Linked DNA regions of Oryctolagus cuniculus. The protein of the gene in region 2 interacts with the protein of the main gene of each other region in a biochemical or structural test. Links are inferred from orthologs where the notes say so. Each region holds a gene or a part of one and is shown on either strand. Other genes may lie near its edges.

Evidence for each region.
Region 1: the proteins of PTPN6 (region 2) and LCP2 form a complex in vitro, tested with the Homo sapiens proteins (2 studies listed by BioGRID). The link is inferred for Oryctolagus cuniculus from reciprocal best matches to the Homo sapiens genes PTPN6 and LCP2.

The regions. Positions count from the first base shown.
Region 1 is NC_091437.1:57,182,846-57,189,318, forward strand, and holds the start of LCP2 (lymphocyte cytosolic protein 2), read right to left. Parts: upstream 4,367-6,473; 5' UTR 4,154-4,366; coding exon 4,076-4,153; intron 1-4,075. UniProt on the Homo sapiens protein: Adapter protein primarily involved in signaling pathways within T-cells, as well as other immune cells such as platelets, mast cells, and natural killer (NK) cells.
Region 2 is NC_091440.1:102,585,642-102,591,659, forward strand, and holds part of PTPN6 (tyrosine-protein phosphatase non-receptor type 6), read right to left. Parts: exon of another isoform or gene 5,990-6,018; coding exon of another isoform or gene 5,982-5,989; intron 5,889-5,981; coding exon 5,766-5,888; intron 5,581-5,765; coding exon 5,386-5,580; intron 3,346-5,385; coding exon 3,156-3,345; intron 3,015-3,155; coding exon 2,898-3,014; intron 2,791-2,897; coding exon 2,677-2,790; intron 2,526-2,676; coding exon 2,429-2,525; intron 2,117-2,428; coding exon 2,037-2,116; intron 1,901-2,036; coding exon 1,751-1,900; intron 1-1,750. UniProt on the Homo sapiens protein: Tyrosine phosphatase enzyme that plays important roles in controlling immune signaling pathways and fundamental physiological processes such as hematopoiesis.

The DNA.
Region 1 (6,473 bases), on a different chromosome or scaffold from region 2:
TGAATGTTTTTAGGGTCTTGGTTATTTCCTAAACCCATTGCCAACCATAGGAAATACCTATTTGCATTTGAAATATCTCCAACTTTGGTATTTTGGACTAGAGCATTTAGGGTTAAACATTTTTCTCTGAGGATCCTGGGTTCTCCCACAAGCATGCATCTTACAATCATGTTCTTCACTTATGGCCTTCAAATCCGAAAGTAAACGCAATTGTAACCACTTGGCTTGGAAAGGTGGGATGAACATCACACTCAGAAAACAAATATGTGAGGCGATGCTGAAAGCAACAGTACTCTTGTTACGTCAACAACGGGAGTCACTGTGCACTTGCTCCCCACGTAGGACTTCTGTGCTTAATGAGTTGTACTATGAGAATTAAGAGTAAAACTTGTCTTCAGACAGCACTTTATGCTTTGTGTGTCTGTGTGGGTGCAAACTGTTGAAATCTTTACTTAGTATAGAGTTGATCTTCTGTATATAAAGATAATTAAAAGTGAATCTTAATGAAGAATGGGATGGGAGAGGGAGTAGGAGGTGAGACGGGAGTGGGGTTAGGAGGGCAGGTATGATGGTAAGAACCACTATATTCCAAACTTTATCTAAAAAGAAATTTATATTTATTAAATAAAAGCTTTCTGAAAGAAAGAAAGCAAGCAAGCAGCGCTGAGCTCAACAGCTCTGTTATCTACGTGTGGGGGGTGCGAGCACTTCTTAGAAGAGTCAACTGCCTCTAACACATCATTTTCTTTTTTTTTTTTTTTTTTTTTTTTTTTTTTGACAGGCAGAGTGGACAGTGAGAGAGAGAGACAGAGAGAAAGGTCTTCCTTTGCCGTTGGTTCACCCTCCAATGGCCGCCGCTGCAGCCGGCGCACCGCGCTGATCCGATGGCAGGAGCCAGGATCCAGGTGCTTTTCCTGGTCTCCCATGGGGTGCAGGGCCCAAGCACCTGGGCCATCCTCCACTGCACTCCCTGGCCATAGCAGAGAGCTGGCCTGGAAGAGGGGCAACTGGGACAGAATCCGGCGCCCCGACCGGGACTAGAACCCGGTGTGCCGGCACCGCAAGGTGGAGGATTAGCCTATTGAGCCACGGCGCCGGCCCTAACACATCATTTTCACTGTCATTATCTGATGAGTCTCCAATCTTGCAGGGTACGGGATTTTGACTCTGGCTTGACAGGCAGCCTTGAAGACTGGGACCTGATCCAGCAAGATCTGGGCCCAGGGGATCTAGAATCTGTATTTGTAACAGGGGCCCTGGATCGCTCTGATAATTCTGATGAGCATCTGGCTTTGGTAAGCACTAGTGTGGAGGTTGCTTGGCTTTGTGGCTCAATGACTGAGACCCAGAGAGGGGAAGGGACTCGCGTAAGGACACGTGGGAAGTTGGGAACACAGCTGGGATTCAAGCACACCGCTCTGAGCTAGTGTCTCTCCAGGGCAGGGCCCAGGGGTGTTGTCCCTCCGTGTTGATAAGAATTGGAGGGATTAAGCCATCACCAAACACGGCCTAGGTCTTAATCCCAGATACAGGATGAGAAACACATCTGAGGTAAAAAGACTTAGAGCCCTGCGATCCACATACCAATGAGTGGCCAGTTAACACAGCAGGAAACTGGGAGCAATAAACATTTTGATACCTCTGTCTGCTGAATGCCTCACATACACTATTTCCTTTACTCCTCTCAACCATTCCACTGGGTTTGTTACCCTTCATGTCTGTTTAATTGCCTGCTTTGGTAGAACTTGTGCCTACCAATTGCCTTCCAATCATCTACCAATCAACCCGTGAAATGATACATTTTATTTCCAAGATCCATCCCCAGATGACCCTGTGTTGAGCAATGTTTTCTCTCTTGAGGACTGACTTGCTCAGAGAGGCGAAGTAGCTAAGGGAAGGCCACCAAACTAGCAGGTGGCAGAGCCAGGGTTCCAACAAGGTGTGTCTGACTCCAGAGTTGGGCAGCGTGGTATCACTGAGGGAAGCCTGACCCTGACACGTGGGTAGAAGCTGCACCCACCAAACGCCTACCCACTGATGCGTTAAATGGGTATGCTTGATCACTAAGATCCATCCCCAAATGAACTTGCAGTCAGTGCGCTCCTGGTTCTGTCTCTTGGGGACTGAGATGGCCTGGGACTTCCAGGGTCACAGATTCCCCTCTGCCTCCTTGTTCCTACCTGGGTCCTTTTGTGCCGGGAGGGGAACCTGGCCCAGTGCTATGCAGTTTTTGCAAGGTCTTAGAACTCCAAGAAGAGAATCATCTCTTCCCCGAACTCAGACAGAGAGCTGTGTCCTGCCCTCCAGTCTGTCCTATCGCCCTGCGCTGACAGGAACTTTGTCTACAGACTCTCTGTCGGTCAGCTGAGTTGTGAAATTTTTCTGACCACATTTGAAATAGCCCCTCAGCCTCTCCTGGGCCTTTCCCTCTGTAACTCTCAACTCCTTTCTCCCTTCTTTATTGCAATAACGTACCACATACTTCCATCTGGGCAAATTTTACCTTTGATCGCCCTATCTCAGAGAAGTATTAGAAACACTCTTCAAAGGCCAGTCGGGCCAGTTGTCCAATGATCTTTGCATCTACAAACCCAAAACCTAGTTTTGTTATGACTTTATACATGTGTGGGGTGGAGGCAGAGGGGACAACAGAAGTGAAATGCACAAGAAACAGAAAACGACAGGCTCTGTGGGGCTGTGCCCCTACCATGCCACACCTGGTTCAAGGTTTTTGTTTTTAGGCTGGGGAAGAACCATCATCACTGCAAATACCTTGGTACTATGAGACCTCAGGTTCAGCTATGTGTCCCAGAGAGCCTATTCCACCCCCGCGGGGCTCAGTTTCCCCAGGAAAAACAGTTAAGTGAGATGACATGTAAAGTCTTAGTGCTACAAGCTCTTCTTTATGCTGGTCTGCAGTATCAACTAAATGTGGTGCCAGCCTGCAGGGAAGAGGATGTTAGAAGAGCAAATGTCCCTTCGGCTGGTGCTGTGGTACAGTGGGTTAACGCCCTGGCCTGAAGCGCCGGCATCCCATATGGGCTGCTGCACTTCCGATCCAGCTTTCTGCTATGGCCTGGGACAGCAGTAGAAGATGGCCCAAGTCCTTGGGCCCCTGCACCCACATGGGAGACCTGGAGGAAGTTCCTGGCTTCTGGCTTTGGATTGGCATAGCTCCGGCCGTTGCAGCCAACTGGGGAGTGAACTAGCAGATGGAAGACCTCTTTCGCTCTTTCTCTCCCTCTCTCTCTGCCTCTCCTTTCTCTGTGTAACTCTGACTTTCAAACAAATAAATAAATCTTAAAAAAGAGAGCAAATGTCCCCTGCAAGGCATCCTATGCTAGAGACAGGAACAGAGGATCCATACTTGCTCGGGCAGGCTTGTGTCCTGTCATCCCCACCAGCAGGTGGACAAGCAGACGATCTTTGAGCATCTCTTCCAAGTCTGGAAGGTAGGACAGCAACCCTGGTCCCGGCTCCACTGCAGTGAGACTCTGATCTATGTAAGAACTTGAGGACCCAGCTTTCTGGGCCCTGAGCAGTGAGTGGCCAAACGCCATGTCTAGCGTTGTTCACCCTCTACCCCTGCCTCCTTCCCTGCCTGTTGTTCTGCACCCAGAGCACCAGGTCTCCCCTTTCTAGAATGTAGTTCTCTTCATCTCAGAGCACAGACTGAAACTGCACAGAAGTGACTCCAATCCTTCTGTCACTACCACCTGTAGTCCCTGTGGCTTTGGGCTGTTTAGCTTCCTTGAGCCTACCTTGAAGCTGAGCCACAGGGATGACAATATTGACCTCAGAAGATTGTCAAGAGGGATCAATGGCACAGTGCTGCAGTGTACCGAGTTCAGGCCCTGGCACATGGTAGGCACCTACTCATTCAAGAGCTCCTGCTCCCACCCTCCTCTCCAGAACTCACTGCAAGGAGCTCTCAGTGGTCTCCCATGGCGCTCACTCTCCCAACAAGGCTGCCGAGAGGCCAGTCACTCCACAGCTGTCTTTTACACCTCTTGTCTTCTGCCCAGCCCATGGAGGGCACTCCCAGCCCGACCACCAACAAAAGAGTGGGTCTCACCTTCTTAAAGTAGTCAGCAAGGCTGTCAGGGTCCCAGGCGAGGACTTCGGAGCGAAAGGGCACGTTCCTCAGTGCCATGGCCGCTGTCTTAGGAGGGGGCTCACAGGTTGAGCGTGGATGCTGCACCCATGGACAGAGAACCCCAAATCCAGATCTTGGAGGCGTCCTTGGCTCTCCCAACTCCCAGCTGCCCCTGGATCGGCCTTGTTGGAGCAGACGTCTTTTCTGCTGTAGTCGGATCCCAGAAAGCAGCAGCTTCCTCTGCGAACAAATATGGTCTCTTCTCAGAAAACGACTTGGCTAGTTTCCTTTACCACTTCCTCTGCTGGCTTCTAAATAAGTAAACAAGGAAGCCCAGCTCTGAGGGCTTGAGATGCAGACAGAGTGACAGGGCAGGTCATTCTCCACCTCGCCCGTGGTCCTGGGCACCCCTGCCCAGCAGGAGGGGCCATGAAGGGCGCTTAAACTCCGAAGCCAGCCCAAGCATTTTGCTGTTAAAACTCCTGTCCCTTCAGCCCCACCCCATGGGTCTACACCACGTTCTTGCTCTGCTGGGGCTTTGCAGATGAATATCTATTCATCTGACAATTGACCTAAAATATAGACAACTTCCAGCAACAGGGAGCTGTGGTGTGGGGGGACGCATGCATGATGCCCCTTCTTCCCTCTTCTCTCAGCCCTAGTCTCTAGCAGTCTCTGCCTGCTACCATTGAAATGAGAGGGTGAGTCTGTAGTGCGTCAGGCATCCAAGGCTGAGCAAGGCGCTACCCTGGGCCAACCCGGGTTCCCTTCTGATGGGAGCTTCTCTGTGCTGTGCAACCTTAGGCAAGGACTTAAAATCTGGGGAGCTCAGTTTCCCTATATGTAAAATAGGAAAGCAGAGGAATTGCCTTATACACACATAACAAATAGATGCATTTAACTTGAGAACCTTCAAATGAAAAAATCAGAAAGCTAGAAGTGACAATTGCTACAGCTGGTGCCTTGGATTCCACTGTGTGTTTACAGCTCATGTTTTATTCACTGTTGATGACATCATGTGTTTCAATCAAAAAGCACATTCCCTGGAGACAGGAGTAGGAATCTTCTAATTTCTTCACCAGTCTCAGACTGTGCATTTCTATAGACGGAGCAACTTGTTGTCAGACAGCCAAGCCAGGGTCTAAAAGGCAATGCATTTGTGCAATGCAGCAGTGGCCTCTGAACAAAATAGAGCTACTTCACTCGGTTCTACACACTCACTCTCTCTCTCACACACACACACATAGCCACCAGTGCTGGTGCTTTGGGAAAGAATCAAGCTTTGTTGCCTTACTGAGCAATGCTATGACAGTCCCTGCATGGTGCCTTCCTGAAGGTTTTTCAAGGGTAGCTTTGGCCACACACACTCTACATCTTATACACAATGTAAGGAGCCCACTGTCATGTCATGCTCCTGCCTCCCTAGCCGGTTGCGAGCTTAAGTGAGGCACACATTTAGTCCCAGGCCCGGCACCTGGACAATGGTGCATGGGCTGGTGATAGCCTCACCTCAGTGGGTGCTGGGGACTTCAATCCAGGTGGTCTAGGCCAAGCGCTCCTTCCCAGGTCCTGTGCCAAAGAGTAACTGGGCATGCTCTGCCCTGGGGAGAGGAGTCACTTGGTCTCTGAAATCACCCATGTAGCAGCAAATGGTAAAAGGGCTCTTGAAAAGAGAAAGAGGAAAAAAAATTTCTTCCAACCAAAGACAGCTTCCCAGAATTACCTGGAATTTATGCAGGATCTTGGGGACTGGAGTAGATTGGAGGGCATTTGGGACATTCATCAACAAATCTCTCTTTCTCTCTCGTAACACACTGTTGAAAGGAACATTATAGAGCAACTCTAAAAGTAGAAGCAATGTTTTTCTTTAAACGATGTTCATCCTCATCCAGGAGAAGGAAAAAAAAAACCAACAACAGCAAAAGCAGAGGTTGGAATAAAGGTAGAGCCAATATGTTCAATAAACATGGCCAAGCTGGACAATGCATGGGCTCATTGAGAAAATAGACACAGCCATTCAGAAACCTAGTTGACATTGATGAGAAGGATAAAATTTGCAAGACATGCAATGCATTGAGTCCTTCCTATGTGTCATGCGTGTGCAAAGAACTTTGCACTGATTATCTTACTAATTGTTGACATTATTATTATTATTAATGATTGTAATGTCTTACAAATGAGAAAACGGAGTTTGAGATTGCTGAAGCAACTTGGCTCCTCGCATCTGGCAATTAGGTTGCAGAGCTAACTCTTGTCAGAAGCTTATGGGAGCCCAGAGCCCCTGTCCCACACTCCTTCGGACCACCTTGGGTGGTCACTCAGGCCACCTTGGGGCTGAGAGGTTACATAAATTGTCCAGCCTGGAGACAGGATTCAA
Region 2 (6,018 bases):
AAACGTCAATGCAGGTTACAAATATAAAGGAGACCCCACCTGTGCCCTGCACCTCGGAAGCTCAAGAAGGACTGGGGAGCAGGGAAAATTAGAACAAACAGAACACACTAGAAGGGGCTAATTTCCCCCCTGGGCTCTGGAGGCAATCAGAGAGGCTTCACAGAGGAGGCAGCACTTGAGCTGGTCTTCAAAAATGAGGCAGAGGGCCTGGCACTGTGACACAGTGGGTAGAGCCACCACCCGCAGTGCCAGCATCCCTGTGGGCGCCAGTTCAAGTCTAGGCTGCTCCACTTCTGATCCAGCTCTCTGCTATGGCCTGGGAGAGCAGTAGAGGATGGCCCAAGTCCTTGGGCCCCTGCACCCGCTTGGGGTCCCAGAGGGGGTTCCTGGCTCCTGACTTTGGATCAACCCAACTCCAGCCATTACGGCCATCTGTGCAGTGAGCCAGCAGATGGAGGACCTCTCTCTCTCTGCCTCTGCCTCTCTGTAACCCTGCCTTTCAAAAAATAAATAAGTAAACCTTTTTTTTTTTTTAAAGAAAAAATAGATTTATTTATTCATTTGAAAGTCAGAGCTATACAGAGAGAGAAGGAGAGGCAGAGAGAGAGAGTCTTCCATCTGCTGGTTCACTCCTCAATTGGCCACAACGGCCAGAGCTACACTGACCCAAAGCCAGGAGCCAAGAGCTTCCTCCATGTCTCCCACGTGGGTGTAGGAGCCCAAGGACTCAGGCCATCCTCTACTGCTCTCCCAGGCCATAGCAGAGAGCCAGACTAGAAGTGGAGCAGCCAGACTCAAACCGGCCCCCACATGGGATGCCGGCACCTCAAGCGGCAGCTTTACCCACTAGGCCACAGCACCGACCCTAATGAGTAAATAAGAAAGAAAGAAAGAAAGAAAGAAAGAAAGAAAGAAAGAAAGAAAGAAAGAAAGAAAGAAAGAAAGAAAGAAAGAAAGAAAGAAAGACAAGACAGAGACAGTATGGGGAGAGAATAAAATGAGTTTGGGCAAAGCCACAGAAGCCTGAAGAGCCTGACCCACGGGAGATGGTGGGTGCCACGGGTGCCAGCCTTACACTGAAAACTCAGGTGGAGGGCAGCTGGGAGCCACTAGAGGGTTTCCAGAGAGGAAGCCATGGGGTCAAGTTTGTGTGCTTTGGGCAGGGTCACTTTGGCTGCAGGACAGGAGGTGCCATGGAAGGGCGAGCCCAGAGAGTAAGGGGTGGGCTCCAGAGCCATTTATGAGACAGAACAAGAGGGGCCTGCAGGGGGACACATGGGGAATGGGCAGCAGTAAGCTTTGCTTCCAAACACGGTAAGGGGAAGGACAGTTTAAAACATGGGGCTTGGGGCTGGCGCTGTGGCATAGCTGAGCCCCACCTGCAGTGCCGGCAGCCTATATGGGTACCAGTTCTAGTCCTGGCTGCTCTACTTCCAATACAGCTCTCTGCTATGGCCTGGGAAAGCAGTAGAAGATGGCCCAAGTCCTTGGGCCCCTGCACCTGCGTGGGCCATCTTCCACTGCTTACCCAGGCCATGGCAGAGAGCTGGATCAGAAGAGGAGCAGCCAGGACTAGAACCAGCACCCATATAGGATGCCAGCACCACAGGCGGAGGGTTAACCTACTGCGTCACAGCGTTGCCACCCCTCCTCCCAGCAGGGGTTAAACCCTCACCCCCTAAGGTCCCTTTCTGCCCTGGCATCTTCAGTTTCTTTGTTTCGGTGGTGAACAATGGGGCCTCAGCCTTACCCGGCCTTTCTCCACCTCGCGGGTGGTCATGACGATGACACGGGTGTTCTCCTGCCAGGCCATCTGCCAGAAGTCATTGACCGTGGCCTCCAGGCAGCCCTGGCTGGCGATATAGGTCTTAGTGTTCTCATCGGGGCCTAGCAGCTGGTTCTGGATGCAAGCAGAGAAGACAGCCCCAGGACCATGAGCCTCTCAGCAGCCTGGGACAGGCCTCGACCACGGCCACCCTCTTCCACCCGAGGGTCTCTGTGTCCCCAGGGCTTCCCATGGGACCTGCCACACTGACCTTGACATAGTTGGCATTGATGTAGTCGGACCCAGGGATGTTACTGTCCCTGCCCTGTAGGATCACTCGGCTGTGGTCAACTGGGAGTGGGCAGAGGGGAAGCAAGGCGGCCTGGTCAGACCCTGCCTACGCTAACAGGTCAGGCATTCTGGTCTCAAAAGCCATGAGGCTCACAGTGGGCTGCAGGGGATCTGTGTGGGGCGGTGGGGTAGAGGATTGAGAAGGAGGAGTTTGGTGAGAGCAGGCGGCAACTGCCTGTTGGCTGCGGGCACAGGGTGGGGGTGGGGGTTCCACTGGGAGGAGTCGGGGCTTTTGGAGGCAGGGGTGGCTTCCTGGAGGGAATGGGAGGGTGTAGACCCTGCGCAGCGGGGCGGGGCTGTCTGGGTGCTCACAAGGGAGAATGTTCTTGTAGCGGTTCTTGCTCTTGTTCTCTGGCCGCTGCCCTTCCAGCCGCTGGTGCAAGTTCTTTACCTCCTGCTTCTGCAGGCTCTGCAAGGGGAGAGAGGAGCTTGAGCAGCCCCCCTACGAGGGCACCCACGGGCAGACAAGACCTGGGGCCAGGAAGGTGGCCACCCGGGACCCCACACGCTGGCCGCCGAAGGCCTCGGCCGTCCCAGCCCTGCAGAGGCCCAGCGCGCACCTCAAACTCCTCCCAAAAGCCAGCTTTGGCCGAGTCCTCCGACTCCTTCTTCTTGTTCAGCTCCAAGACCCGGCTCTCAATGTCGGCTGCGTTCACCCGCGTGGCGTAGTATGGCTGGGGTCAGGGAAGGCGATATGTCAGCCACTCGGAGGTCTCAGAAGCTCATGCGCAGGCGCGAGGGCTCAGGGGCAGGCAGCAGGCAGCCGGGCCCATGTGCTTACCTGCCGCAGATAGACGAAGGCACCAGAGGCCTCCTCAATCCCCGTCTTCTTGAAATGCTCCACCAGGTCCGTGAGGCTGTCAAAGGTGTCGGGACCGCCCACCGTGTAGCGTCCACCCTGAGGGTGCCGAGCAAGGCCATCCCTGGACCCGAAGCCTCGGACCTGAGCCCCAGCAGACCCGCCCCGCCGCCCACGCTGCGGGCACGGACAGGAACTCACACAAGCCCCCCCCCCCCCCGCCCCCGCCCAGCTGCCTACCTCGCACATGACCTTGATGTGGGTGACCCTGAGCGGGGAGCCAGGGCCACTCTTGAGCTGGTCGCTGAGCACCGACAGCACAAAATCTCCAGGCTGGCTGAGACTCTCACGCACCAGAAACGTCCAGGGCTCGCCCTTGGCCTGCAGCAGCGTCTCTGCCTGCCCTCCAGACATGTGGCCGTGGTACCATCTAGAGGGAAGCAGCATCAGGGCAGATGAGACCCAGGTCACGGGGAAAAGGCCCCGGGCAGGCAGAGGCATTCACAGACTGCCCACGACGTGCCAGGCACTGAGCTGGATGCTTGCAAGTCCACCACATTGAGGATTGAGATCCATTGCTCTCTCACAGAAATGTGCTGGGATCCCACTTGACAGGTGCAGAAACTGAGGCTGAGCAGCCGCACACCGGCCCAAGACCTCTGACTGGTAAGAGGCAGCCTCAAGAGTTCTAGCCAGGCTTTGGACCCAGAGCCCATCTGAGAACTCAAGACAGAGGAGAGGCAGGCACTACTGGGGCTCCGTGGAGAAACCAGGGGTGAGTCTCCGGAGGAGGGGTCTGGGCTAGGGAAAGGCAGCAGAGACAAAGACATGCAGACTGAGTGGGGGAACTCAGGGGGGAGACCGGGCAGGGAGCGGGGGACACAGCCCCACTAGGGACACAGTGGTTTAGGGGGCTCTGGGTGCTCAGCATGATGTCACCAAAAGGGAGGTCGGGGTTCACAGGGACGCAAGGGGGCAGAAAACAGAACTAAGACCTTTCCCCGAAGTATACCCCCTTCCCAGGAGGAAACCATAGCCCCGCGATGCCCAGCCCCACAGGAAACCACGTGATGGAAAAAACACCAACTCCTTCTGGGGAGAGAGTGAGAAGTGAGGTTTCCTCAGCCGGCACCAGGGGAAGGGGGGCATTTTCCAACCGCAGGGATGGGGGAAGGAGGGAGGGGCCGGCCTGTCCCCAGCATGTCCCCTCTTCCCCCCACCCCCTCCCTGGGGAAGACTCCAGCTCAGAGGCCCCCTAGAGTCCCCCACCCCGCCCATGAGCCCCCAAGCCACCCCTCCCTACCACCACCCAGGGGCAGCCCAGGGCCCCCAGGCAATGGGGAGGGGGCGAGCCCCCTTCCCTGGGCCCCAGGATGAGGAAGTCTCCATGCAAATGTGAGGCTGACCACAGACAGGGACACAGCCATCCAGGGGACAAATGCAAATGCCGGAAGAGGAGGCCTTGGCCAAAGAGGGGGCAGAGGTTTCAGAAGCCTGCAGACAGGGCCTCTCGCAGGTTCCTGGGGTCAGGGGTGAGACCCAGGCCTCTCAGCTTGGGTGACCCAAGAGGGTCCCCACCTCAGCACTGCCTTCCCTCCCCTCCTGCTTCTCCCACGCCCGGTGAACCCAGGCCCCCAGCCCTCTCCCCAGGGGCTGCTCAGCTCCCCTCTCCAGCGCCATCCACAACCCACGGCAGCCCTAAGGTCTCCTCCAGCAGGGCCATCCAGGCTTGAGGTGAGGAGAAAGGGGCAGAAGGAACCACAGGGGCAAGCTGTGGGTGGGGAGGGAGAGGCCAAGGGAGCAGGCGGCCCTGCTGAGGCGTCCCTCCAGGAAGCCACTCTCCAGGGCTTCGTGTCCACCCCGGCCCTGTCCACTGCTAGGTTTGAACCAGTCACTTGGGCCAAAATACTGACACAGGTTTGGTGGCATGAATCTCAGAAGGACTGAAAACTGACAGGGGCAAGGTGCAGAAGCATTTCAACAGGAGTCAGGATGAAAAAAAAAAAAAAAAAAAAAAAAAAAACAACCCTAGGCAGCCCACAGCAGGCTCTGTCTTGGAGATAGGGCCAGGGTGAGCCCCTGGGGCCCTTGGGTGAGGTTCACGCTCTGGGGAGGAGCCAGCCCTGTTCTGGGGGTCGGCCTTGAGCACAGTGCAGGGCCCTGTCCTTCCAGGACCCCATACCACCTGCTTCCCATTACCTCTGTGGGGACCCCATGGGCTAGACCCCCTCTCACTGGGTTGCCCGGAGCCCAGCTCACACAGCTCGCCTGTAGGGGCCCGGGTCATAAGCAGGCAGATTCAGTTCCACAGAAGGGAAGCTTTCTAACAATGGGCTCGGCCGCCACGAGGGGCGGCTTCCTGCCACCAGGAGGACCCCGGTGAAGGGCAAGGCTGCAGCATAAGAGGGAGAAGCGGAGCCCAGAGGCCTGAGCCGGGGCGGGCCAAAGGGGCCGGCTGCAGGGCCCTCACCTCTCGCTAGTGGGGTCGGAGCAGTTGAGCGGGTACTTGAGGTGGATGATGGTGCCGTCACGGTCCTGCAGCACGCCCTGCTGCTGTGTGTAGTACTCCACCAGCTCCGTCAGCGTGGCGAACTTCTCCCCTCCATACAGGTCGTAGAAATCCCCAGAGTTCTGGATCCGAATGTGGGTCACCTGGTCCCCGACCCTGCAGGGCACCAGCCGTGAGGCCAGGCGTCTGGCCCCCCGGGGAACCCATGGGGAGGGGGCCTGCGCAGGTGTGGGGGACGGGGTGGGGGTGGGACAAGGACACAGCAGAGGCACGGGGCCAGGGGAGCAGGGAATGAGGGCTCCAGGGGCCTAGGCCAGTGCAGCGTCGCTGGGACCACCTACCTGACAGACAGGGAGAAGTCTCCCTGGTTCTTGCGACTGGGCCGAGCCAGGAAGCTGCCATGGACGCCTCGGCCCTTGAGCAGGGTCTCTGCGTCCAGCCCACTGAGGTCCCGGTGGAACCACCTGGAAGGCCGGGCAGGGTGGTGAGGAGAGGTCCCTCGGCCGCCCCAGAGCACCCCCATCTCCCACCCTCTGACCGCAGCTCCCAGCGCTTACCTCACCATCCTGGGGGCTTCCGGAAAGCAAGGGGCAG